Danio rerio: one gene and its partners. The protein of the gene in region 3 interacts with the protein of the main gene of each other region in a pairwise test. Links are inferred from orthologs where the notes say so. Each region holds a gene or a part of one and is shown on either strand. Other genes may lie near its edges. The genes, in order: eif2b1, apip, ntaq1, necab2, blmh, pygma and actb1.

What was found.
Region 1: the proteins of ntaq1 (region 3) and eif2b1 interact in binary tests that used the Homo sapiens proteins (3 or more experiments, as listed by UniProt). The two-hybrid records come from large-scale screens. The link is inferred for Danio rerio from reciprocal best matches to the Homo sapiens genes NTAQ1 and EIF2B1.
Region 2: the proteins of ntaq1 (region 3) and apip interact in binary tests that used the Homo sapiens proteins (3 or more experiments, as listed by UniProt). The two-hybrid records come from large-scale screens. The link is inferred for Danio rerio from reciprocal best matches to the Homo sapiens genes NTAQ1 and APIP.
Region 4: the proteins of ntaq1 (region 3) and necab2 interact in binary tests that used the Homo sapiens proteins (3 or more experiments, as listed by UniProt). The two-hybrid records come from large-scale screens. The link is inferred for Danio rerio from reciprocal best matches to the Homo sapiens genes NTAQ1 and NECAB2.
Region 5: the proteins of ntaq1 (region 3) and blmh interact in binary tests that used the Homo sapiens proteins (3 or more experiments, as listed by UniProt). The two-hybrid records come from large-scale screens. The link is inferred for Danio rerio from reciprocal best matches to the Homo sapiens genes NTAQ1 and BLMH.
Region 6: the proteins of ntaq1 (region 3) and pygma interact in binary tests that used the Homo sapiens proteins (3 or more experiments, as listed by UniProt). The two-hybrid records come from large-scale screens. The link is inferred for Danio rerio from reciprocal best matches to the Homo sapiens genes NTAQ1 and PYGM.
Region 7: the proteins of ntaq1 (region 3) and actb1 interact in binary tests that used the Homo sapiens proteins (3 or more experiments, as listed by UniProt). The two-hybrid records come from large-scale screens. The link is inferred for Danio rerio from reciprocal best matches to the Homo sapiens genes NTAQ1 and ACTG1.

The regions. Positions count from the first base shown.
Region 1 is NC_133180.1:75,666,721-75,670,810, forward strand, and holds the start of eif2b1 (translation initiation factor eIF2B subunit alpha), read right to left. Parts: upstream 2,801-4,090; 5' UTR 2,514-2,800; coding exon 2,501-2,513; intron 1,584-2,500; coding exon 1,482-1,583; intron 1-1,481.
Region 2 is NC_133182.1:51,746,701-51,748,966, forward strand, and holds the end of apip (methylthioribulose-1-phosphate dehydratase), read left to right. Parts: intron 1-297; coding exon 298-346; intron 347-430; coding exon 431-548; intron 549-616; coding exon 617-752; intron 753-1,384; coding exon 1,385-1,552; intron 1,553-1,638; coding exon 1,639-1,738; 3' UTR 1,739-1,766; downstream 1,767-2,266. UniProt on the Homo sapiens protein: Catalyzes the dehydration of methylthioribulose-1-phosphate (MTRu-1-P) into 2,3-diketo-5-methylthiopentyl-1-phosphate (DK-MTP-1-P).
Region 3 is NC_133194.1:37,454,723-37,458,716, forward strand, and holds ntaq1 (protein N-terminal glutamine amidohydrolase), read left to right. Parts: upstream 1-1,194; coding exon 1,195-1,274; intron 1,275-1,354; coding exon 1,355-1,454; intron 1,455-2,627; coding exon 2,628-2,678; intron 2,679-2,758; coding exon 2,759-2,907; intron 2,908-3,332; coding exon 3,333-3,457; intron 3,458-3,543; coding exon 3,544-3,647; 3' UTR 3,648-3,663; downstream 3,664-3,994. UniProt on the Homo sapiens protein: Mediates the side-chain deamidation of N-terminal glutamine residues to glutamate, an important step in N-end rule pathway of protein degradation.
Region 4 is NC_133193.1:23,004,290-23,008,581, reverse strand, and holds the end of necab2 (N-terminal EF-hand calcium-binding protein 2), read right to left. Parts: intron 3,478-4,292; coding exon 3,386-3,477; intron 1,205-3,385; coding exon 1,176-1,204; 3' UTR 501-1,175; downstream 1-500. UniProt on the Homo sapiens protein: May act as a signaling scaffold protein that senses intracellular calcium.
Region 5 is NC_133190.1:31,140,109-31,143,608, reverse strand, and holds part of blmh (bleomycin hydrolase), read left to right. Parts: intron 1-1,521; coding exon 1,522-1,670; 3' UTR 1,671-1,712; exon of another isoform or gene 1,713-1,800; intron 1,801-1,803; 3' UTR 1,804-3,500. UniProt on the Homo sapiens protein: The normal physiological role of BLM hydrolase is unknown, but it catalyzes the inactivation of the antitumor drug BLM (a glycopeptide) by hydrolyzing the carboxamide bond of its B-aminoalaninamide moiety thus protecting normal and malignant cells from BLM toxicity.
Region 6 is NC_133196.1:31,536,303-31,539,802, forward strand, and holds part of pygma (glycogen phosphorylase, muscle form), read left to right. Parts: intron 1-705; coding exon 706-764; intron 765-851; coding exon 852-993; intron 994-3,395; coding exon 3,396-3,500. UniProt on the Homo sapiens protein: Allosteric enzyme that catalyzes the rate-limiting step in glycogen catabolism, the phosphorolytic cleavage of glycogen to produce glucose-1-phosphate, and plays a central role in maintaining cellular and organismal glucose homeostasis.
Region 7 is NC_133176.1:10,082,029-10,086,162, reverse strand, and holds the start of actb1 (actin, cytoplasmic 1), read left to right. Parts: upstream 1-1,334; 5' UTR 1,335-1,433; intron 1,434-2,401; 5' UTR 2,402-2,403; coding exon 2,404-2,526; intron 2,527-2,925; coding exon 2,926-3,165; intron 3,166-3,476; coding exon 3,477-3,915; intron 3,916-4,001; coding exon 4,002-4,134. UniProt on the Homo sapiens protein: Actins are highly conserved proteins that are involved in various types of cell motility and are ubiquitously expressed in all eukaryotic cells.

The DNA of each region.
Region 1 (4,090 bases), on a different chromosome or scaffold from region 3:
TAAAGTATCGATTCACATTAGTTCCCATCCACATCAAGCATCGGTTCACACTAGTTCACATCATTTCACATTCACATCAAGAATCTGTTCACATCTATATCAATTATATCTTCACATTAGTTTATATCCACATCAAGCATCAGTTCACACCCACATCAGGAGTCGGTTCACATGCACATCAAGCATCGGTTTACAATCACATCTATGTCAAGTATTAGTTCACATTAGTTCACATCTAAATCAAGCATCAGTTCACAGTAGTTCACATCAAGCATAGGCTCACACCCACATTGATCCACATCTATATTATCCAGTTTCAGTTCACATTAGTTCACATCCACATCAAGCATGGGTTCACACTAGTTCACATCCAAATCAAGCATCGATTCACATTAGTTCCCATCCACATCAAGCATCGGTTCACACTAGTTCACATCCAAATCAAGCATCGGTTCACATTAGTTCCCATCTACATCAAGCATCAGTTCACATTAGTTCACATCCAAATCAAGCATCGATTCACATTAGTTCCCATCCACATCAAGCATCGGTTCACACTAGTTCACATCCAAATCAAGCATCGGTTCACACTAGTTCACATCCAAATCAAGCATCGGTTCACATTAGTTCCCATCTACATCAAGCATCAGTTCGCACTAGTTCACATTTAAATCAAGAAACGGTTCACATTAGTTCACATAATTTCACAACCTTATCAAGCATCAGTTCCCATCTACATAAAGTATCGATTCACATTAGTTCCCATCCACATCAAGCATCGGTTCACACTAGTTCACATCCAAATCAAGCATAGGTTCAAACTAGTTCACATCATTTCACATTCACATCAAGAATCTGTTCACATCTATATCAATTATATCTTCACATTAGTTTATATCCACATCAAGCATCAGTTCACACCCACATCAGGAGTCGGTTCACATGCACATCAAGCATCGGTTTACAATCACATCTATGTCAAGTATTAGTTCACATTTGTTCACATCTAAATCAAGCATCGGTTCACACCCACATTGATCCACATCTATATTATCCAGTTTCAGTTCACATTAGTTCACATCCACATCAAGCATGGGTTCATATCTATATCAGGTATCGGTTCACACCCTCATGAGTTCACTTCTATATCAAGTATCAATTCTCATTAGTTCACATCCACATCAACCATCGGTTCACATCAGTTGACTTCCACATCAAGAACCAGTTCACATTCAAATTAAGTATCAGTTCACATTAGTTCACATCCACATCAACCATCGCTTCACATCAGTTGACATCCACAACAAGAACCAGTTCACATTAGTTCACATCCATATCAAGTATCGGTTCACATTAGTTCATATCCAAATAAAGCATCAATTCACATCAGTTGACATCCACATCAAGCATCGGTTCACATCTATTTCAAGCATCAGTTCACATCCACATCCCAAGCCGAAAATCAAACAGCACAAACTCACTCTGATCCCTCTTCAGGAACTCAAGCAGTGATCGAATCGCAGCCACCGCTGAAGCCACATCTGGATCTTCCCTGATCTGCCCACGGAAATACTCCACCAGTTCTGGAAGAGAGAAATACATATTCAAATAAATTACTGACTTCCACTGTTGAATTGTTTTAATTCCCAATCTGAAAATATCAGGGTATAAATGTAAACGTTTTGCATTTTTGTCTTTGTAATTCTGTACCTTCGCTGTTGAATTGTTTGGTGAAAGTAAGCTGTGTTGGGTAAGAAAAGTACTTAACTTCAAATTACCTAACTGAAATTGTATTTAAACTTCTGCTGGATAACAATACAGTATAAAACTAAACTCATATAAAGTGTAAAATATATTTTAGATAATTATGTTTATAATTATGTTTATAGTCTTTAGTACTAGCCGATGAATTAATTAATAATAAACTGAACCTTTTGGTAAAATGTTAGACTTACAGTATAGTATAGTAAAGCTATTCATAATTTTGACCACAAATAACTACAATTACCAACAATTTAACAACATTGAAACATTTAACAACATTTAACAATTACTCAGACATTAAATAGCGAGTGAACAAAAAAGTCAAACCCTAAAATTAATAAAGAACAGCTTTTATAACACACACTATGAGCAGCTATAATCATCTGTGTAAACATCATGACTCTTGCACCTTTAAATAATTAAATAAATGAAATATTATTAATCTCCTGATCAACAAAGTCTTTAGATGTTCCCATAATGCATTAGCTATACATATATACACGTGGAATCACGAAATGTTCTCAATTATTATTGATATTATGTGTGTCAATCAAACAGGTCGAAAACAAGCACAAATGCCTTGCGTTACCAACCAACATATCAACATAATTGATCATAATATAATTCAAAATGTAATATAAGATGCTCAGGAAAGCAAAGCAGCTACGCAAATAACTCAGAATCATCTCTGAATAATTATTAAGTGTGTTCTGTCTTGTGTTGTTGTCAAACTCACCTCTTTCCTCCATTTTAAAAGCACTTTCTCTCTCAGAGATCTGTCAAGTTTTGAGTTTCACGAGCTAATAATGATAGTGTCGCTGATGCAACGATCTGTCATGACGCTCTCTGACATCCAGTACGACGAATTGTTTAAAGTTTGTCTACAAAGTAATGCTTGCTTTACCCATTTATTTCATACGATCCCTTTCAGAAACTGAATAACATCTATTCTTCTAGTGTATTTCAAATGAAAGGCTATTTACAGTGAACAAGTGGACATGCTCACTTTCTTCTTCTTCGTTGTTTTATGTCGAGTGAACAGTCGCTTCATGTAGCGCCGCTGCTGGACAGCAGAAAAACAGCAGGATCATTTGTTTAATTCTCTACTACAGGGTTATTCAAACTGTATAATAACACAATTAAAATAATTATCAATCGAATCGAATATTTTTAAAAATATTATTACGGCATATAAATAAATTAGTACAAAAAAGAACTAAAATTAATTTATATTAATAATTGTTGTGTGTATAAGGAATAAATTTAGTACTTTAATGAGTAGGAAATACATTAATTAACGTAACTTAATAGAACACAATACGGAATGCATAATAATATACTGCTAATGATATATATATATTTTTTCAAAGTAAAATAATAAAATTAAATGTTATAAGTATAGACATATACAAACTGTGAGCTTGTAGAGTTTAATTTCGGTGCCTGAAAAAAAAAGTTTAGTTGTCTCTGCAAGATAAATAAATATAAAATATAATATTGCATATGGAATGCCGGAGGATAGTGAGTAAAATAAAACAAAATAATAATAAAATAAAATAATAATATTAATAATAATATAAAAAAAGAGTGATAAAATAAAATAAAATTAAATAAAATTAAATAAAATTAAATAAAATTAAATTAAAATAATGTAAAATTAAATAAAATAAAACAATAAAATAAGATAAAAAGTAAAAGGAAATAAAATAAAATAATAAAATAAGATAAAAAAGTTAAATAAAATAAAATAAAGTAAAGTAAAAAAAATGAAAAATAAAAAATAATAGTAAAATAAGATAGGATAAGATAAGATTAGTTAAAATAAAAAAATGAATTGAAATGAGATAAATAAAATAAAACAAAAATAAAAAAATTAAAAAAATAAAATCAAAGAAAATAAATCTAAACTAAACTAAATATTGTGATTAGAAGGCCGAAGGATTGTAAATAAAATAAATAAAAATAAAAATAAGAAAACAAAAATAAATAAAACAAAAATAAAATAAAAAATAAATAAAATACAGTAAAAAAAATATAAAAATAAAACAAAAATAAAATAAAACGAAATAAAATAAAGAAGGAAAATTAAAAAATGATATTTTTTTTCCTGCACCAGTACAGCAGGTGGCGCTACACTGAGTTCAATCTCTCCATTAAATAAACAGAAGAAGATTTAAGCATGAGTCCAAACAGCACAACTTTCAACATATTGAAGAAAACAGCAAAGAAATACAGTTTTATATCAATTTAGAGACGCCGGAATTGCAGCAATGGCTTCGGGTTTGTAAATCACACAAACACCATTAATGAAACGTTTAACGGTTTT
Region 2 (2,266 bases), on a different chromosome or scaffold from region 3:
TTAATTAAAATGTTTATCTAAGTAGTCAAGTTAAGGAGTAAAGTAGCTAAGTAGCAAAGTTAAAACATTAGGTATTATATTGTCTTAGAGTGAATTTTAACATGTCTTTAAACATGACATTATTTTGACAAATTTTCATGTACACTGTAAATAACAATACAGACATTATTTTAAATGAATACCAGTTTTTGACATGGTTTTAGATGTCTTGATTCAATTCTAATGCACAGTTTAGTTTTTGAGCTGATTATTGATTGTTTGTCAAGTCTTGACCTGACTATTTGTTTCTTCTTTTAGTGAGCACATTTATATAGCTCCCTCAGGTGTTCAGAAGGAGAGAATACAAGTAAGGTTTTTTATTTAGTCATGTTGTTGTTTCTGTGTAAAATGAAATAATGCTAAAATAAACTATAACTCCCCTGCTGTGTAGCCAGAGGACTTGTTTGTGTGTGACATTGATGAGAAGGACATCAGTTGTCCTCCTCCACAGAAGAAGCTGAAGAAGAGCCAGTGCACGCCACTCTTCATGAACGCCTACACTATGAGAGGTACATGTCAACACAGAATGTACTGTTTTTAGTCTGTACCGTGTTACATCGTCTTGTCTTTTTCACAGGTGCTCAGGCAGTTATTCACACGCACTCAAAGTCTGCTGTAATGGCAACTCTCCTGTTTCCTGGAAAGGAATTCCGTATCACACACCAAGAGATGATTAAGGGGATTCGGAAAGGAAACTCAGGCACAAACTTCAGGTTGTGGTTCCTGTTATGATGCTTTATGAACACGATTTTAAATTTGAGATGTAAAATGAAGCAAATGAAAGCATATACATACATGATACCTCTTTGAAATCTTTAAGATCTCATTTTTATATCAATATTTTACAACTTACCTTGATTTAAAATAATATATATTGTGTATATAAATTATATTACTCAGCACCAAAGCCAAATCTCTTTTAATCTAATTAATATAATAATCATTTACTGACTTTCAACATATATAACATATATGTTCTGACAGCTGCAGATGTGAATGAATGGTGGAAGAAAGTAGTTTCCTTGTACAAAAGGGATTTTGTGACTCGCTGTGTTTGATATTCTCTTCTATATACACGATTATGTCATCAAACTGTTGTATAAATGCAAAATTACACTCATAGCAGTGCAATATGGCTGTATATTGAATGTATATTTGGATGACTTGAACATAGTTTAAATTCTGTAAATATCTAAATATTAGCAATATTAACTCTTTAACGATAAAAAAGGTGACAACATTCCATTAATTGTGTTTTATAAATGGTTGGAAAAAGAAACTGAAAGTAAAATGTGTCAGCGCCTAATATCCTTCTCTTCTTCTATTGTGTTGTGTTTTTACCCAGGTATGACGACACTCTAGTTGTTCCAATAATTGAAAACACCCCAGAGGAGAAAGACTTGAAGGAGCGGATGGCCCGAGCCATGGACATGTACCCCGACTCCTGCGCTGTCCTCGTCCGCAGACATGGCGTCTACGTCTGGGGAGAGACTTGGGAGAAAGCAAAGACAATGTGAGCTGGGGAATTCAATGCACAACTTTGTTTGTATTTTGTAGAAACATACATTATTGATCTTTTACATCACTATTGTTTTCCAGGTGTGAATGTTATGACTACTTGTTTGACATTGCTGTGCAGATGAAACAGAGTGGTCTGGATCCTTCTGCTTTTCCAACTGAAGAAAAAGGCATTGTTTGAGTCTGCATAATAAAAAACTATAACTGTGTGTGTGCGCATGTGTGTGTTTATAGCGATTGCTCAAATATGCAACTCACAATTTTGTGTTTGTCATTTAAACGGCACCTATTTTATCCTTTTTTCAAGATCTAAGATAAATCTTTTGTGTCTCCAGAAGTTTCAGCTCAAAACACCCATCATATTACTGATTATAGCTTTAGAAATACTGGAATTTTCAGCTCTGAACACAATGTAGCTGTTTTTGTTGCCTGTGCATTTAATGTGAATTCTCTCTGCCCACCGTTCCCACACGCCTCTCAGTGTGCCTAAAACTCCGCCTCAGCCACATCAGATAAACAGCACAGTGACAGACATGAAGGAAGCAGATCTCAGATTTAACGGTTGTGAGAAATACTACTGTAAGAAATTTACCAATGATTATTTGATGTATTTGTTGTGGAGTTGCAACGATGAGTCACACAAGGTTACACATGCGCACACATATAGCGGACACACACACTGTGTGTTTAACTTTGCACTGCTTTTGCA
Region 3 (3,994 bases):
CCAGTTCACCAGCTCTCAAATCAGTGGGTCCACAAGTGCTAATGAGATCATTAGTAAAAGACATTCCTAAAAACGAGGTGTTAATGGTGGGCTTTTTCTGATGGCTACACCTCAAAACATAGGTGGCCCTATACATCTTGTTAAAAGAATATGGTTAATATTTGTTGGTTTAGCTTACTTTATAACATCATAAGTATTTGAATGTTATCAAATTTCATTTTAAACAAACACGTTAGCAAATAGTGGATTCTTAAACGGTAAAAGTGTAAAGAGCTGTTTATTTGTGGCTCAGAAATGGGGATTTAGCCTATGAAAACAATAAAAAGTGTAATAAAACAGTTGTACAAGTAAATAAATACATCTCTCAGAATGTGATATATTTAATCCAAAAAAATATTTACCTTATTTTACAAAAGACATCTTGTACGCATATATATTTAGAACATTTTGTGGCTTTTTATGACCAAAGCAAGTGTGAACCAAGACAACTTTTGACAAGACTACATAGTTATTCATTTAGACTATGTGCTAACCTCCTTAATATTAACTCATACTGTGGTTTTGGTAGACAATTTGAATGGACTGATAGTTTGAAACATATTGTCAGGACTCTATAATGAGTGAACATGTATAGAGAAATGAAAGGGTTTGAGATAAACATGCATTAGAAACAGAAACACATTTTCAGTTTAAAACAAAATATAGTTCACAAAAAAAATTTATAGATATCCACAAACATTTATACAAGTATGTGGCAAAAAACGAATTAACGTGCAACAAAATACAATCAGATACTCTGAAATTAGAAACCAATACATTGGCTAATTGTATTGAGTTGAGAACGATGCCTAACTGCACGTTATCTTTCGCTAACGTGTTTTCTACTTATGCTTTATGAAAGTTAGACTGTTTAATATTTATGCTGATAATCGTGCAAGTGCTACATTTGCAATTCACATAAGGAGTGAATGTTCGCGCATCACCTGTCTCGCCGGAACGACAAATCCCCTGAAGTTCCTTACGGACAAGATACATTGTAACAAGCAACAGTGCGGTTGCAACGCGAATCGCTTCATTGTAATATTAATGTAAATATCTATGGTATCATTATACACATGTATTCTTTTGTCATGTCGTTATAACTGGAAGTCCGCGTAAACCTACTGTATATACACGTATATAAGGAAGGAAAGAATGAATGAAGAAAGCGCTTCGTCTGAATATAAAGTGATCACCCCGTCCGGAAACCAATGTGTTTACACCAGCTGTTACTGGTAAATGCGATAATACCTGTAACATTATTTCAAATTTAAAACGTACCGTATTCATACACGTATTTAAATGTTTGTTGCAGTGAGGAGAATGTGTGGAAATTGTGTGAATATATCAAGAATCAGAGACATTGTCCTTTGGAAGAGGTGTATGCAGTATTTATATCTAATGAAAGAAAGAAGGTGAGCTTCATCTCCACACAAGTATTTTACATTTAATGAAATGTACAGTTTTCTGTTATATACATACATACACACACACACACACACACACACACACACACATACATATATATATATATATATATATATATATGTATATATATATATATATATATATATATATATACATATATACACACACACACACACACACACACACGTATACAGTCACCGGTCACTTTATTAGGTACAGCTTTCCAACTGCTGCTCAACGCAAAAATAAGCCAATCACATGGCAGCAACTCAATGCATTTAGGCATGTAGACATGGTCAAGACGATCAGCTGCAGTTCAAACCAAGCATAAGAATGGGAAAGAAAGGTGATTCCAGTAACTTTGAACCTCGAACCTTGAGGAGATGGGCTACAGCAGCAGAAGACCACATGGGTGCCACTCTTGTCAGCAAAGACCAGGAAACTGAGGCTACATTTCACACTGGCTCACCAAAATTGAACAATAGAAGATTGGAAAAGCGTTGTCTGGTCTGATAAGTCTCAATTTCTGCTGCAACATTCGGATGGTAGGGTAAGAATTTAGCGTCAGCAACATGAAAGCATGAATCCATCCTGCCTTGTATCAACGGTTCAGGTGGTGGTAGTGTAATGGCATGGGGGGTATTTTCTTGGCACACATTGGGCCCATTAGTACCAATTAAGCATTGTGTCAACGCCACAGCCTACCTGAGTATTGTTGCTGGCCATGTCCATGCCTTTATGACCAGTGTACCCATCTTCTGATGGCTACTTCCAGCAGGATAACGCACCATGTCATAAAACGCAAATCATCTCAGACTGGTTTGTAAAACATGACATGAAGTTCTGTAATCAAATGACTTCCACAGTCACCGGCTCTCAATTCAGTAGAGCACCTTTGGGATGTGGTGGAATGAGAGAATCGCATCACGGATGTGCAGCCAACAAATCCACAGCAACTGTGTAATGCTATCATGTGAATATGAACCAAAATCTCTTGAGGAATATTTCCAGTACCTTGTTGAATCTATGCCACAAAGGATTAAGGCAGTTCTAAAGACAAAAGAGGGTCCAACCCGGTACTAGTAAGGTGTGCCAAACAAAAGGGGCCAATGAGTGTATATATAGTATGTATGTGTGTTAAAAATTGTGTAATATTTCAGATACCTATTTGGAAACAAAAGTCCAGTCGAGGGGATGAACCAGTAATTTGGGTAGGAACTTTATATGTATAAAAACTATGCATATTTTATGGTAGTCTCTAATTGATATAAAAATGTTGTTTTCCATTTAGGATTACCATGTTATTCTTCTACACGCAAGTAAACAAGGACCGAGCTTCATTTACGATTTAGACACCATTCTTCCATTTCCTTGTTCGCTTGACGTTTATTCAATGGAGGCCTTTCAGTCTGACAAGCATTTGAAACCTGCTTACTGGAGGCAAGTATTATCTGGTCTAATCTGCATTCTACAAAAGATGAAATAACATAAGTGTAACAAGTACTTAATAAATTTATAAAAGAAAAGCACATCATAAAATGTGAGGACAAAATTGAATGAAGATTTTAATATGAATTAGTATTTTGAGGCTGCATTGTTATCCATTTAGTATGGCCTCACATTATTCTTGTTTTAAATATAACTTAGTATTTTAAACTACTGTTACACTTAACTACATTTTAGAGGTCATCTTATGTAAATTGTGGTGATGGACAATAGTCAATTAATTTACTTTTGCATTAAATAATATTATTTTTATATATATATTTTTTAACAAATGCTTAAACTCCTTTATGTCTTTGACCCTTATAATAATAATAGCCAGTCTTAGTTGAATGTAATCAAAGTGTTGTTTGCTCTTTTAGGAAACTTCGAGTCATACCCGGGGACACTTATTTGAAGGAGTTTGCTTCTGATCGGTCTCATATGAAGGACTCCGATGGGAATTGGCGTATGCCACCTCCAGCATATCCATGTTTAGAGACACCAGGTTTGTTTTCTATTGCAGATTTATATACAGTAAATACTATAATTTGATTTCTTCTTCCACTTTCATGTATAACGTGTCCTTTTCAGAATCCAAAATGAATCTTGATGACTTCATCTGCATGGATCCCCGAGTGGGATATGGAGAGGTTTACAGCCTTTCAGACTTTGTTAAACACTTTGGAGTAAAGTAATGCTTTTTTTCCAGCACATTTTTTGTTGTTGTTGTTGAAAAATGTACATAAACAGAGCCTCAGGGAAAGATCCTATTATGATGGAGAATGCTGCAACTAAGCAGGCCTCAAAAGACACATTTATTGACTCTGAAATTATTTTTACTAATTGAACAGTTGGCAATGTGGCTTAATTATAGTCAGGTAGAAAGGTCACAGAAAAGAAAGCCATTGTTGTCATTTGTCGAGGATGTGTATTATTTTTATAAAGAAATCAGTTACACAGATGTACAGATAATAAAAATGCAGAATTTAAACAAACAACCAAACCGAAATGCGAAACTGTGTAAGCAGTTGTAGTGCTGTAG
Region 4 (4,292 bases), on a different chromosome or scaffold from region 3:
TGGTGCTACTTTGCGCTTATGGTCTGTGCAGTAAGTGACTGTATAATCATCAATAACGTGACTTGTTTAGCCCAAAAGTTCGTAACATACAAAACAACATCTTATCTATGAAATGTTCTGCCTTTATGCTTTGTTTTCTTTCTTTGCTCGTTACTAAACCTGTTTGCAGCACAAAAGTCCAGCATCATCAGATTGGCTTTGGTCTTGACTAGTGCGGTTGAATGACTTTTGTCCTGAGAGCACTGTACAAATTTGGCGGCACTATTGACGCATGCACAGGGTCCATATGCAATTTCTAGTGTATATATCTACGGTATCTTTCTTCAAAATATCTACTACTCAGGACGAGTAAATAGTGTAAAATACATTTTTGGATGAACTATCCCTTTAAGTCAATGCCACTCTTTTAATTTAAGCACTCGTCCCACATCTATATATTCCCTCTCAAGAGTGATCAACATAAAATGATGTTCTCTTCGTCAGCGAATCTCATTTATACAAGCATTTCATTCCTCGTTCAGGAACATTGTGCTTTTTGGAGCGGATGTTGATTTGGATGTGTTGTAAATGTAGGCCCCTTGACTGGCAGTATTGGTCATGCTCACGGTTTTGACAGAAGCACCAGTCCTTCTACATGGCTCAGTGCGTTACACAAACAATTCATGAAGATACAGTCCAAAGTACTTAATAGACCAACCTATACCTAGTATTAAACAGCCTTTACAGAAATGCTAGTGTCCATGGACAGCTTTAGAAATACTTTGCTGCACAGTTTTTGTCTTCTCAGAAGTTGTACCGCAGGGAACTGTCTGCAAAGCAGCGGATGCGTGCTTGAATTGGGATGAAATATTAATCGGCCTCTTTTGGTTAGTAGAGACTGTTCATGTAAGGTGATGTTTTAGGTGCAAAAGTGAGCTTCCCGAATGCGGTGGGAGTTTTGATGTGGGTTTCTGTGTGTTGCAGTGGATGTGAAGAGGGAACTGTGTCTGGAGACACTACTTTTGGCTCAATATTAAATGGATACTGTGTAAACAAGTAATTACAAAAGAGGAGACGGAGTGGGGGAGCAGAGAGAAAGAGGAGGTAAGAAAGCAGAGACTGTGACAGAAAGATAGAGAGAAGAGAGGGGTTTCAGGCAATAAGCGGGACGTCCCACCCGCAGACTGGCACACTTCTCAGTCCCTGTTCAGGCTGCACCAGGCGGCTAGAAAGAGTAAAAGAGTGAGCGAGAGAGAGAGAGAGAGAGAGAGAGAGAGAGAGAGAGACAGAGAGTCAGTGTCATTATTAAAGTAATGAAAGACAGTAAAATTCTTTGTATAGCGGTTGACAAATTTCTGTAAACACATTCTAGACAAGCTTATAGTTTTGCGGTTATGCAAAGCACTGTAAACTGTAGGCTGCTCTGATCGCTTCACATTCAGAGAGACATACAGATAGATTTGGTTAGCCCTGGAACGTGTAATGAAACATTTGAAAGAGAATCAATGCACTTACTAAAAGCACACTCAGCACAGGCAGCCACTTGCACATAGACACACAGACATAGATTTATACACACACATACTTTAAGGTCAACTATTTATAATAAATTCATTATAAATAATTATAGTGTTAATTATATATAACAGTATGTAAACAAATAATTTTAATAAGTTTTAATAATGGACCCTTTTCACATTTCCATAAGGCATCATGGTTAGGTAAACGTAGAGCGCAGTGAGAGTACAAATAATATTTTTTATAGTCCTATTAGCTGAAATAATAAAAGAAAAACTCAACAATGGTGTTATCAAGACTTTCAAAAAAAGAAAAAATTGCGTGAGACTGAGTTTTTTGTAATTTGACACAAAGATTATATAAAATATTCATAAATGCATATTAATGTATAAACGTTTTTTTAATCTAAATATTTAAAAGGATTCAAGGATTTAAGATTATGATGATTGTTAAACACATCATAACAGTCTTGTGAAAAGGGTCTATAGATCATATCAATTTTAGTTTTTAATAACAGTAGTTCTAAACTACACAACTTCCACATTATTACTTTAAATAACGAATATAAGCATATTTAATGTAAATGCATATGCACTTGTATAAAAATATTTATTGTAATCTATTATACTAAACTTGTTTTTAAAATGCTGAAATTATGGCATTTCTATTCTATTTTTTTTATTCAAAGCGTAACATCGTAACACCTAGAAAAAAAAATTAAATCCGTAAACGACAAAATAGCCTGCCACTGTGTACATAACTTTCTCACTGTATAAAAAAGGCCAATTTTATTGTATTTTTAATTAAAAAGAGATATCTACAATTAGTAAAAATCAATAAACAACTAAATAGTTTGCCATTGTGTACATAACTGTCCAAATGCATACAAATTGTAACATATTTTGTATTTTTAAATGAAAAAGTGACATCTAGAATTAGGAAAAATTAGTAACTTACAATTTTTTTATCTGCCATTGTCTAAATGACAGAATAAAATATCAAATATGCTACAATTTAATTACAAATTACTGCTCAGCACCATTTGTGTGCCTATTTAAGTTTATATGTCCTTTTTACAACTACAGTTGAAGTCAGAATTATTAGCCTCCCTGTTTATTTTTTCCCCAATTTCTGTTTAACGGAGAGACAATTTTTTTTTCAACATTTCTAAACATGATAGTTTTAATAACTAATTTCTAATAACTGATTTATTTTATCTTTGCCACCATGATAGTAAATACTATTTGGCTAGATATTTTTCAAGACACTTCTATACAGCTTGAAGTGACATTTAAAGGCTTAACTAGGTTAATTAGGTAAACTAGTCAGGTTCGGGTAATTAGGCAAGTTATTGTATAATGATGGTTTGTTTTGTAGACTATCAAAAAATGTTTGCTTAAAGGGGCTAATAATTTTGACCTTAAAAAAAAAACTACTTTTATTCTAGCCGAAATAAAACAAATAAGACTTTCTCCAGAAGAAAAAATATTATCAGACATGCTGTGAACACTTCCTTGCTCTGTCAAACATCATTTGGGAAATATCTAAAAAAGAAAAAGAAAAAAATCAAAGTGGGGCTAATAATTCTGACTTCAAATGTATGCAGGCTCTTGAGTGTTTTTTTTTCTTTCAGTATTTCTATTTTGTAATAGAGCTGGAATGAGCGCAAGAGTGTTTGCAATACAGAAGCTCCAAATGCAGAGACTGTCAGAGGACAGACATGCTGAAAATGAGAGTAATCCTGCAGGGCAAGTAGGAATTCATAATAGCTGTGAAATGTAAGGACATCCCTCCTCTAGACTACACAATACATGCAAAACAAGCAGCATCAAAGACTGGTTTGGCTCTAATGCCCACAGCAGCCTCTATAGCAGACAGAAGAACACACCGGGCACAGCGACAGTGGACACCGCCTCAGGCTGACACAGAGTATCCACTTTCACATGCTGGAACGCCTTGCAGGCTGCAGTCAGAAGATGCCTGAGAGGGAAATCAAGCGACACAGTTCCAGCATTATAATCAGTCTTCAGATGCAAAGCAGCATCAATAAAATACTGTACATGTGACTTTGCAGCTAAATAGATTCTGAACAGAACTAGACCATTTATAAATTCTGTTGACTTTGTATCTTCTAGTCAACTAGCGCCCCATTTACTTCTGGTTTTAAGATGCAATTTTCAACAATAGCATGACCTTTTTTTTAAAATAAAATGTCTTAAGCTTCATACTTAACAAGTAGTAAACTATGTTAATGTGTTTGTTCATTCCATAACATAATATCACAAAGATGGTCTTAAAAATAATGTAAAGCATGATAAAATTTAAGGGAAAGTCTTGACAAAAAAGTGGCCTAATGAGATGAAATTGAATGTTAATCACAAATATCAATAATTATAGTAAACTATAACTTTACTTGCCCTGTACTGTACTTGCAAAGTTACTTGTATTTAATGTTTTGAAGGAGTATCAAAATAAAGTGCTAGCAGAAAGTCTACTAGTACTCTAATAATTGCAAAATTACTGTAGTCAATCATTTTGCAAGTTAATTCACAGATTTTTAGTTTAGTTTAGTTTAGTTTAGTTTTGTTAATCTTCATTCAAAATCTGACATGTTGCTTCCACATTAGGAGTGGCGGTTCTCTGTTGATGTCAGTTTGATATTTTTTTAATCACACCCCTTTTCTACAAGGGGATGATGAGCAATAAAAAAACTTCACCCCCTACTTAATATCCAGTTTCAGTTGGAAGTACATCAACATACATAAATAAAAGTCTTAACAAATTCCAGGTCACAT
Region 5 (3,500 bases), on a different chromosome or scaffold from region 3:
AAGATGCTCATAAACTACGATGGAAACACTTTTACTGAACAAATTCCGGTAAGCGCGTTGAAAAGAAAAGTCATATGATTTTGTTACAAGAGGTCATGTGATGATAAAAGTGTGTGTGAATGGACAAACCAGCAGGCTGAGCACACTGTAAAACACCTGAAATGTTGTTTTGGTCATTCTAAAACACCTTAATCTTTTCGGTATCAGTGTTATTATATTAATGAACTCCAGAACTGTCAAGAGAATCTGAGCTCCACGTTTCATGCCTTTAAAGGCCACCATGCGTTCATTGCGTGTCTGCATTGTCTTCTGAGGCATAAGTCATTTATTAAATAAGGAAAAGATTGATGCAGCTTCTCCTACACGGCAAATTCCGGTTTAACTTTTGATTTTTGCACCAGTTTATCAGGATGTGACGATTATGTTCTCTTTGACTCGTTGAATGAAAACGCTACATTATTCGCACAGCTTTTATACAATATTCCAGTTTTCCACTCATTCCACTCATTCTTTTTGTAAAAGCAATCTGTAAGGCATTTATATTTAACACGAACGAAGATAGCTTGACAGGTTAACAACACTTTAGCAAACATTTATAATTGTTTAATGGTTCAAATGTTGCTGGTATAGGAAACAATCAAACTATTTAGCCTTAACATGCAATGTGCAGCATAACTGAGTATACCACATTATAAAAAATGAACATTTTTATCCATTTCTCAGTGAATATAGGTCATATTTTTGAAAACAAAACTGATTTGTTAAACGGATATATTTATTAAAATAATATTTTAGTCACCAAACGACATAGAACCATAAAGCATTTAAATTTATGCAAAATATTGGGAAAAATACAGTTTTGGTTTCTCTTGAATTTTGCTCTTGAATTTTTTATTTAATATTTGTACCTTAACATATATATTTGAGCTACTAATTTTGTTTTTACTTTTTTGACGCCATTTTATCAGAAAGTGAATATTTTATTCTCCGACTCATTGAATAGCAACGTTGCTTTAAGTGCATTCGCTTTTCATGCGATATTCCAGTTTTGCGCATACATTTAATTTGCATTTGCATGGATGGAAATATAGCTAATGTCAAATTTTACTGTACTGTCCATAAACGCAGCATTAGAAACACCTTGCCGAAAGCGTTAACAGTTTTGTATAGCATGATGAAGTATAGCTTATTAAATGTACATGCGTATTAAAAAAATTCAGCTTATTGAAACCTTTAAGGATTTAAGATGCAGATGACCATTGAAACATGTCCTCGTCGTCTTGTGAAAAGGGTATATAATGTGATTTTTTTCTCAACAGTGCCATCTTTGTTTTCCTGAATATATGAGTAATCAGTAGGCTGATGTCCTACAGTGCATTGCGATCTGACGTTCGTCCAAGAGCTTCTGCTGCAGCAAATTAAACAGCGTTCCACTCCTCCGTCTTGCTATCTTTCTTCTGCTCATCTTTCATTTTAGCCATTTATCTCTGTCTGCTGTCCTTGCCTCATCTCTTCCTGCAGGATATCTGATCATGACAGACGAGTGGTTCTCCGAGTACGTGTACGAGGTGGTGGTGGATAAGAGTTTTCTCTCTCCTGAAGTGCTGGACGTCATGCAGAAGGACCCCGTCGTCCTCCCGGCCTGGGACCCCATGGGAGCCCTGGCGTAACCACAGGAGCCAGTCTGATCTCCTCAACTCCACCTTCAGCTGGTTTTAACCCCCTCCCACCATCTCTCACAACAAGCCTGGTCTAGAAAAAAAAAAGAATAAAGTTTTTTTGCCTCTTTTTTTATTATCACAGGAGTCTGAGTGTGGAGTCATTTCAGTGCTGCGTTTGCATGCTGGTTTCCAACAGGTTGTAATAACGTCCCCTAACGGAGTCCGTGGCATTCTTTAAATACTCAAGTGAAGAGTCCACTGGGTACACCAGAATCTCGCCGGAAATGGTATGTTATCCAGGGATCTTGCGTTTTATGAATAGATGTGCTACTTTCTTCACATACCTTTTCACCTATTATATAGTAGAGAAATTTTCTGATGCAGCTTTAAGTTCAGACTGCATGATTTTGACTCGCCAACAGGTTTTTGAGAAATCGCAGACAACTGATTGAAATCACAGGCAAATCAGAGCCTGTTCACGTGAGTAACAAAGTGTGAACTATTAAAGTCACGATCTGAGAGAATCACCAATAATTCGCTGATATCCGTGAGATATTTGGGATGCTAAATACCTGGAGCTGTTGGTGATTCAGAATCATGCCATGTAAAATGTGTACTGATTGAAAATAACATCGCTGATAAGCTCTAAGCACGGCTAGAGTTTAAAACCAACGATAAACTTCCGATGAAAGCCTAATGTGACTATTTCCAATTTCACAAGGTTGTTTTTAAAGCACTGATGTTGTAATGTAATTACAAAATCCTCAGTTAAATAGACTCAAGCATTCATTTAGTTGTTTAAGCGTAAAAAGATATACAAGAGCGTTGTAACCGCTAGTGCCGTCAGTAGCAACAGAAGTTCCATTGAAAATACTGGGGTCAAATAAAGGGTCATATTTTAAAGACATGGTGGGGGAACTGGAATTAAATGCAGGGCTTCCTGTCCGATCTGAGACCCACTTATATCATATCATATATCTAACAGGCAGCGAAGATCGCTGATTTTAAACGTGACAGTTTTGTAATGGAAAGACAGTTTACTTGAAGCCATAGGGCTGCCCTGCTGAAAATTAAAAGTCTGTGTGCATATAGCCCATTACCTACCGCCAATGAGTAAGCAGCATCCACTAGTATGGGTATCTGCAGGCCAGCGAGAGGTTCGGGAAAAAGTTAAAAGGGCTTCTTTTCAGAAAAAAAACGTCACCATTTGACAATAGTGCAGGTGAAAAAAAACTAGAAACTAGACTCATAACAAAAAGAAAAAAGCTGCGCGGCATCAACAGAGCTGTGAAGGGAGTGCTCTTTCCCTCGGTCTCACACACGCATACAGGCATCTAAACGCGCACAAGCACACCTTTTAAACTTGACAAAAACTCTTGAAAAACTTTACTGTCTGCTGTGTCTTTAATATGGTCTAAAGATTATTATGCGTTATTGAAACATCAAGGAGGACGCAGCAAAGAAAAGTCACTTATAAATTAAAACTTTATTATTTTATGCAACAGCCTTACATTTAAAAGGGGAACATAAGGGCGATCATACGCAAAAAGACCCCAGCCAATAAGGCTAGATGTTTTCTTTCCCTTATTTATTTATATTTGCCGCATGTACTCGTGTGCGATCGGAAAACTGTGTCTGCACTCCGCCTCTCCTTTCACTCTGCCCCGAAGCCCCAGTTGACCTGTTTAGCACTCGGAAGTGACAGTGGAAACGCGACTGGCCTTGGCTCGCTCACTTTAGGCGCGATAGTGGAAACGCGGCTGGTCTCATGCACTCCATGACGACCACAGCATCAGCTCAGGATACAGCCTGGTCCAGGATTATGGATACCTTGGGTTT
Region 6 (3,500 bases), on a different chromosome or scaffold from region 3:
TTTTGCTCACATTTTAGACTACACAGCCATCAGTCTACAGAGATTTCCCAATATTTCTCTGCTGCAATTGCAATAACACAATAAATAACCCAGAAAAAGCCAAAGCAAAACACTACCAAATTACGATAGTATAAACACAGCACTACAAAATGCAAAAGAGAGATCGACTTACCTGTTCTATAATGATTTGTTCAGGTGGGCGGAGTAATACACCCCAAGAGTGAAGAGACTATACTAGTGCTGTTATTGCAGAATATCACATGGCTATCAGTCAATCAGAATCGAGAACCAAGCAGAACTGTTGTGTGTGTGACTGTGTATATATATATATATATATATATATATATATGTGTGTGTGTGTGTGTGTGTGTGTATATATATATATATATATATATATATATATATATATATATATATATATATATATATATATATACTTTATTATTATTTAAATGAAATTATATATATTTTTAGAAGAGTAAATATATAAAAATATTTTGTAAATAATATTTGTCCTAATATTACTATTGTGATTAACCGTATTTTCTTTCAAATAATAGTTAAATTCAAAACAAATACTGAATAAATAAAGGAATGCATAAATTATTGTATTAAGGTATAATGGTCCAAAACACGTCAGTAAATAAAACTGTTAAACATTTAGAAAGACATGTTGTGACTATTTGTGTAAATTCAATTTTACAGGCATCAAGAAAGAGCCTAATAAGCAGTGGACACCAAGAACAATTATGATTGGAGGAAAGGTGATTTAAATGCAGTCAGATCAGCATTCAGATCTTTAACTCCTTAGTGAACTGTGAATTGTCTGATAATTCTATTCTTCTTCCCAGGCTGCGCCAGGATACCACACAGCTAAAATGATCATTCGCCTCATCACAGCTATCGGTGAGGTGGTCAACAATGACCCTGTGGTGGGCGATCGACTCAAAGTCATTTTCTTGGAGAACTACAGAGTCACCCTTGCTGAGAAAGGTGATCGATTATAATATTTGAAGTCTCTTACATTTAAATATTTTATTTGAATTATTATTTTTTTATCTTGCATATATTGTTATTAAAAACTGATATTTTAGTTTGTTAGCTTAAACCTAAAGAAAATGAGAAGTGTTGTTGTGACAACTTACTAAAAATATTTTGTTTTTATGATTTTTTCTTTGACTAACCCTATTTGCTACAGAACTAATCTTACAATTAATGATAACTATAATATTAACCAGAAAATAAAAGCTGTATGCTTCCAGACAGCATATACTGTATATCTAACATTTTACCCACATATAACTCTGTGTCAATGCAATGTGTGATTGCCATTTGATTGAGATGGAAATACCTTATAATTTAATATTTGCAGTGATTTTCACAGCTATGCTTTTCTACGGCAAACACTATCAGTGCCTAAACACAATTCCCAGTTTAAAGGGAAGCTATAATCTCAGGTAACACTTTATTGTAATGTGCAATTCATGCTGTTTACAAACCATTATCTAAGGCTATCAGCTCAATAAACCTTAATTAGTGACTTATTAATAGTAAGGTAGTTGTTGAGCTTAAGTATTGGGTAAGATTATGGATATAACTACTAATAAAGAGACAATATCTAAACAATAGGCAGTAGCTAGAAGTTCATTAGTGCATTAAGCTGTAAGTGTTACCATATCTTATAATTAGGGCTGCACAATATTGGAAAAAAACTGACGTTACAATATTTTCTTTCACTGCGACTATATATATATATATATATATAGCTATATAAATGTAATTTCAGCAGATGACTTGAATAGCTTTTAAACAATTCATAATTAATTGGGATGAACTGTAGTGGAGCATATCTGCATAAAATATAATTTTAAAAATGATAAGCAAAGTTAAATACAACAGAGAAAAGATGCTAATATACAATGATTTATGATTTTTTTTTCAAACAGTCAAACAGTATTTAGTCAAACAGTATTTAGAAGCAGAAATAAAAAATAAAAAAACACTGTATAATTATGATAATAACAACACTATTATTTTTAGTAAATAATGACATAATATACAATTCATCTTTAAGCTATAAACATTTCATTTATTGTGCCTTAATGATTAATTAATAATTCATTAATTTAAGCCAAATTTAATGGCTTAAATTTGCTTCAAATTCAATGAGGTCTTAAATACTCATGCAAATCATAAACTTAGTGTTTAAATTTTTTGAATTTTTGAATTTATTGAATGGGATAGCCCGTTGAGATGAATCATCTAATTTTCGAGGGGGTCCCTAAAATTTTTTAGAAATTACTCCACTGCTTCACCTTTCACACAGTCATAACGGGAAATATCCAGATAATTTCTGGAACGACTTTACTGGTAGATTCAAAAAAGCCCCGTTCACAAAGGCAAGAACGTTCCGGAATTTTTTCCAGAAAATACCATTCACACATCTATTTCAAAATACCAGTAATTTTTTTTAAAAATTGGTATTTGTCAACATAGAAGGGGTTGGGCTTTTGTTGATGGTTTTACTTTGATTTCAAGCTTTAGCATTCATGCAGTTGCTTTGTCCCAGAGACATCCAAAAGGCAGAGGCGCAAACAGCAGCTAAACGTTTACACAGTTGACGACATTACAAATTTTGTGGATAGATAAGTATTATGAACAACTTCGATTAAACATATAAAGGAACACTTTCGCATGTTTAGATGTACATAATGTGTGTGTGCTGGCACTCACCGGCTTCTTCACGTGCACACGCGTCAAGCAACTGAAGCAGAGCTTGAAAGAAAACAAACAGAGGTTTATCATAAGGATTTTATCAATGATTTTTACACAGGTAAGATTAAGAAGGAAGATAGAAACTTTATCTGACTAACATCTAGCAGTTAAATGTGTCTGAAAAAAATATTTAAAGGTTTTTATTTTTCATAAACCGTGCGGATGTGAATGCGTCTGAATGTTCTGATTGACTGGAGTAGACATCTTTTCTGGCAATTTTCCTTCTGCGTTCACACAGAGCAGCATTCAGCAAATTACCGGTAATGTTACAAGTTCTCTTTTAGGAAAACTGATGGAACAAATTTATCAGTATTTAAAAAAAAGGCCTGTTCACACAGGTTCCCTTTGTTTGTTGCTGGTAATTTTCTAGAAAGGGATGTATGTGTGAAAGGGTCTTGTGTTGTTCACTGTAGTGTCTGGTCAACTATAATCCCAACTACATTGCAGATCCCTGCGTTGTGACTATTGCAGCCTCGCACATTGCAATATCGATGCTGAAACAATATATTTTGCAGCTCTACTTATGATTATAACATGGTATGAATGTGCTTTAGCCTACCTTATATAATACGAGTCATGCGATTGTGAAAAATATCCCTATCGTTGTCTTTTTCTCTCAGCGATCCCCGCGGCCGACCTGTCCGAGCAGATCTCCACAGCCGGCACAGAAGCTTCTGGAACAGGCAACATGAAGTTCATGCTGAACGGAGCTCTGACCATTGGCA
Region 7 (4,134 bases), on a different chromosome or scaffold from region 3:
CCTTTCTAGTATTTTTTTTTCCTTGAAGCCATTAGCCTAGCCTATCAGTGTCACATTACTTTATCGAATGTAAACTAAACAGTCTGTGCTTCAAAACATTCACGACATATAGTGTTATTCAATAGTTTATATTATCAGTCTTTTTAAGTAACAGGGTATGTAGGCTGATTTTTTTTGTGCACTCTTCAGATTCCAGTAATGCAGCAGCGTGAAGCGTCATCGGTTTATGACGTAATTACGCAAAAGCCGGCTTGACAGGAAGTGTTGTTTTCTATGGAGCACCGTGCCCTTGTTTTGTATCCCCTGCTTTGCAGATAACCAGATAAAATGAAATATGCTTAATACGGTTGCATCTAACATGCCGAGCGGCGATGTAACAGACGCCGATCTGAGCAACAACAAAACAATAGTCAATATTTCATTAATTTCCGAATGACTCCTGATCTTCTGCAGCTTTACATCCATGATATTATAAACAGCAAAGCATTATGCACAAAAGCAACCTACGATTGAATTAAACAGTGCAATGTTCACAAATAAAGCCTTTTTTAAATATGCTTTTACATTATGTTTTATAGAGTCACGAGAAGTACCTGTACTTTAAATGGGAGCCACGCCCACGTTGTTCATCAAACTAACCTAATAAAATGACACACTTAAAATGTCTTCTCAAGAATTAATCGTAAATGAGTCGTTTTCAACTAGCTGTCAAACATTAACTGAAATGTAAAGCAGATTAGTGTATAACGTTAATCAAATAATGATTTCTTCTCTGTTCTACCAATAATGGCTCTTGTATAACGTTAGTTTACACATTGTTGTCATTTATAGAGCTGAAACATACAGTAAAATACAATATAAGTTTAAATACTATTGGACAATGTCGTACTGCTATGTTTAAACGTCCTGTCATTCCTGCAGCCTAAGTACAGCTTATATAAATGCAACTTTACATCATGCATTGCTCGTTTTTCACAGAAATAATAAACTATTTAACGTTACTCGCTGTATGTGAGGTTATTTAAAAGTAACGTTAAGCCACAGACATGAAGTCTAGCATCCTTTACTGATTTAACTGTGTTCCAATCCAAATGATATACATATCCTTAATTCAAGTGTTACATCTGCCAATGCTGTGTCAAATCAACTTATCGTGTATTTCCTTATCAAATTATTTCGCCTTTTCGCCGATCCCTGACATACATTATTTCAACCCAGAACTTGAATTTCAAGCAACTAGCTTGAAACTCGCCAAGTGGACGACGGCTGGCCAATCAGACCGCTCGCTGCCGAAAGTTTACCTTATATGGAAGGAGCCGGCCGCAGTGCCGGCTATAAAGCTGTGACCCACCTCACGCTCAGCATTGTGAGTTTTCAGTGCACGCTGAGAAGATCTTCACTCCCCTTGTTCACAATAACCTACTAATACACAGGTGAGAATGCTTTTATATTAATATTTACTGGTATTTGGAATAATTTAGTAATGCTTATGATGATTATTGGAGATTTATTTATTAAAGCTATATTTCATTTTGCTTGCTGATCGGATTTGAATTGAAGTCTTGGTCCTGTCTGCCTAAATATGTACTTTGCTGTTGATTTTTACAACGCTGAATAAGTTATGCTGATTTTTGTGCTTGTGTTTTATTAATGGTTTTAACCGGTAGCAGTTCCAGCTTTCAAAGCTAACGTTAGAGTAATACAACTGTAAAGCCTTCTACATAAAGCGATTTATTAAATTCATATTTGGTAGTAAATTGATTTTTAATGTAAGGTTTAATTTAAATGTGGATTTATTAATCAACGTTAACGTTAGTATCATCAACGGCAGTGTTCGCAGTTTGAATGGTGGGTGTGGCTACTATAACGCATTAACCGGTATCACTGCCGTTTAATTCGTGTGCACGGTCAAATATATATAAAAGCTTTTAAAGTTTCTTGTTTGTCTGTAACGTTGTTGGGATTTCATAAACTTGTCAGTCACACACGAAGTTAAAGATTATTGCAGCACTTCTAGTTCGTTAAAGTTAAGTTACTCTTTCTGTTGAAATGGCTTCGTTTTATTTCCTTTTCAAAAGACAAGAGCGTGTTTTAGTGAGCACCGGGATTTCACTCGTGGCGTTGTAAAGCGCTTATCTCGGCCTTTGAGACCGGGAGGGAGTGGTCGCGTCCGTTGGTCTGATTCCACGCGCTGAATCGGCGGCATTGAGCTGCTCTAACTTATTGCCATATAAGGCAATAGTGAGGCTGCCTGGCCACTTCCTTTGTCTCAAATCTCTTGGTTTCAACCCTGCGCCTTTGCGCCGCCTACTGGCCAGACGTCACAAATCCATCAGTCATCACCGCCTATAAAAGACACTACCCATTCATATTTTAACAGTTTCGCTTTTTTTCCCTACAGCCATGGATGAGGAAATCGCTGCCCTGGTCGTTGACAACGGCTCCGGTATGTGCAAAGCCGGTTTTGCTGGAGATGATGCCCCTCGTGCTGTTTTCCCCTCCATTGTTGGACGACCCAGACATCAGGTACATTTAATAAACCATCCTAATAACATGTTAATCATATTGAACCACATTAAACTCTCATTTGTGCATTTTACATCTTTTAAAATCGATTTATATTCGTTTTTAGATAATGAAGTTTATTAAAGTGTTAATTCACAGCTTTATTGCCTGTTTTGAGAATCTGCTTGCATAAGTGATTTTTAAACTTGATCTGATTCTCGTTTGTTTCGAAGTTCTTCAGCTTTGAAAGTCAGATCTAATAAAAGTTAATTTAAGCGTTCATTACAATAAATTCAAGTGAATCTGTTTTAAGCTAACCTTCAACGTTTTTAAATTCCTTCAAACAAATTGGTTCCTCTTTGCAGTTCCTCATTTCTCGGTGAGCTGGTGCTTTAATCCCTTTACTTTTTCTTCCTCTAGGGAGTGATGGTTGGCATGGGACAGAAAGACTCCTATGTGGGAGATGAGGCCCAGAGCAAGAGAGGTATCCTGACCCTCAAATACCCCATTGAGCACGGTATTGTGACTAACTGGGATGACATGGAGAAGATCTGGCATCACACCTTCTACAATGAGCTCCGTGTTGCCCCTGAGGAGCACCCTGTGCTGCTCACTGAGGCTCCCCTGAATCCCAAAGCCAACAGAGAGAAGATGACACAGGTGTGTTCCTGTGATCAATTTGATTTTCATATTGCCTTATTTGGCTTTCTTCCCCTCTTTGTTCACTTCCTTTCTGTCCATTTCCTCTTAGGCTCTGTCACTTGCCATGATCTCTTGATAGGAGGTTCAAAAGGTTCATCCCTATTTTTTCATTCCTTTTCCCCCTCTTGCATGGTAGCTTCTAACCTTAACTCTCCACAGTTGAGCGTTTTAGCATGGTGTGTTGGAGGCTTTCTTGCCCTGTTGTGCACCCATACTCACGCAGATTTGAGGCTCTGAGTTTGGTTTTTAACCAATTATCTCTTCTACAGATCATGTTCGAGACCTTCAACACCCCTGCCATGTATGTGGCCATCCAGGCTGTGCTCTCTCTGTACGCTTCTGGTCGTACTACTGGTATTGTGATGGACTCTGGTGATGGTGTGACCCACACCGTGCCCATCTATGAGGGTTACGCTCTTCCCCATGCCATCCTGCGTCTGGATCTGGCTGGTCGTGACCTGACAGACTACCTGATGAAGATCCTGACCGAGCGTGGCTACAGCTTCACCACCACGGCCGAAAGAGAAATTGTCCGTGACATCAAGGAGAAGCTGTGCTACGTGGCCCTGGACTTTGAGCAGGAGATGGGAACCGCTGCCTCCTCTTCCTCCCTGGAGAAGAGCTATGAGCTGCCTGACGGTCAGGTCATCACCATTGGCAATGAGCGTTTCCGTTGCCCCGAGGCTCTCTTCCAGCCTTCCTTCCTGGGTGAGTTCCTTGCCATGCATTTAAACTGATCTCCCTTTCAAAAGTGATCCTTCAACAGTGACTAACGTTTGCTTTTATTGGTGCAGGTATGGAATCTTGCGGTATCCATGAGACCACCTTCAACTCCATCATGAAGTGCGACGTGGACATCCGTAAGGACCTGTATGCCAACACAGTGCTGTCTGGAGGTACCACCATGTACCCTGGCATTGCTGACCG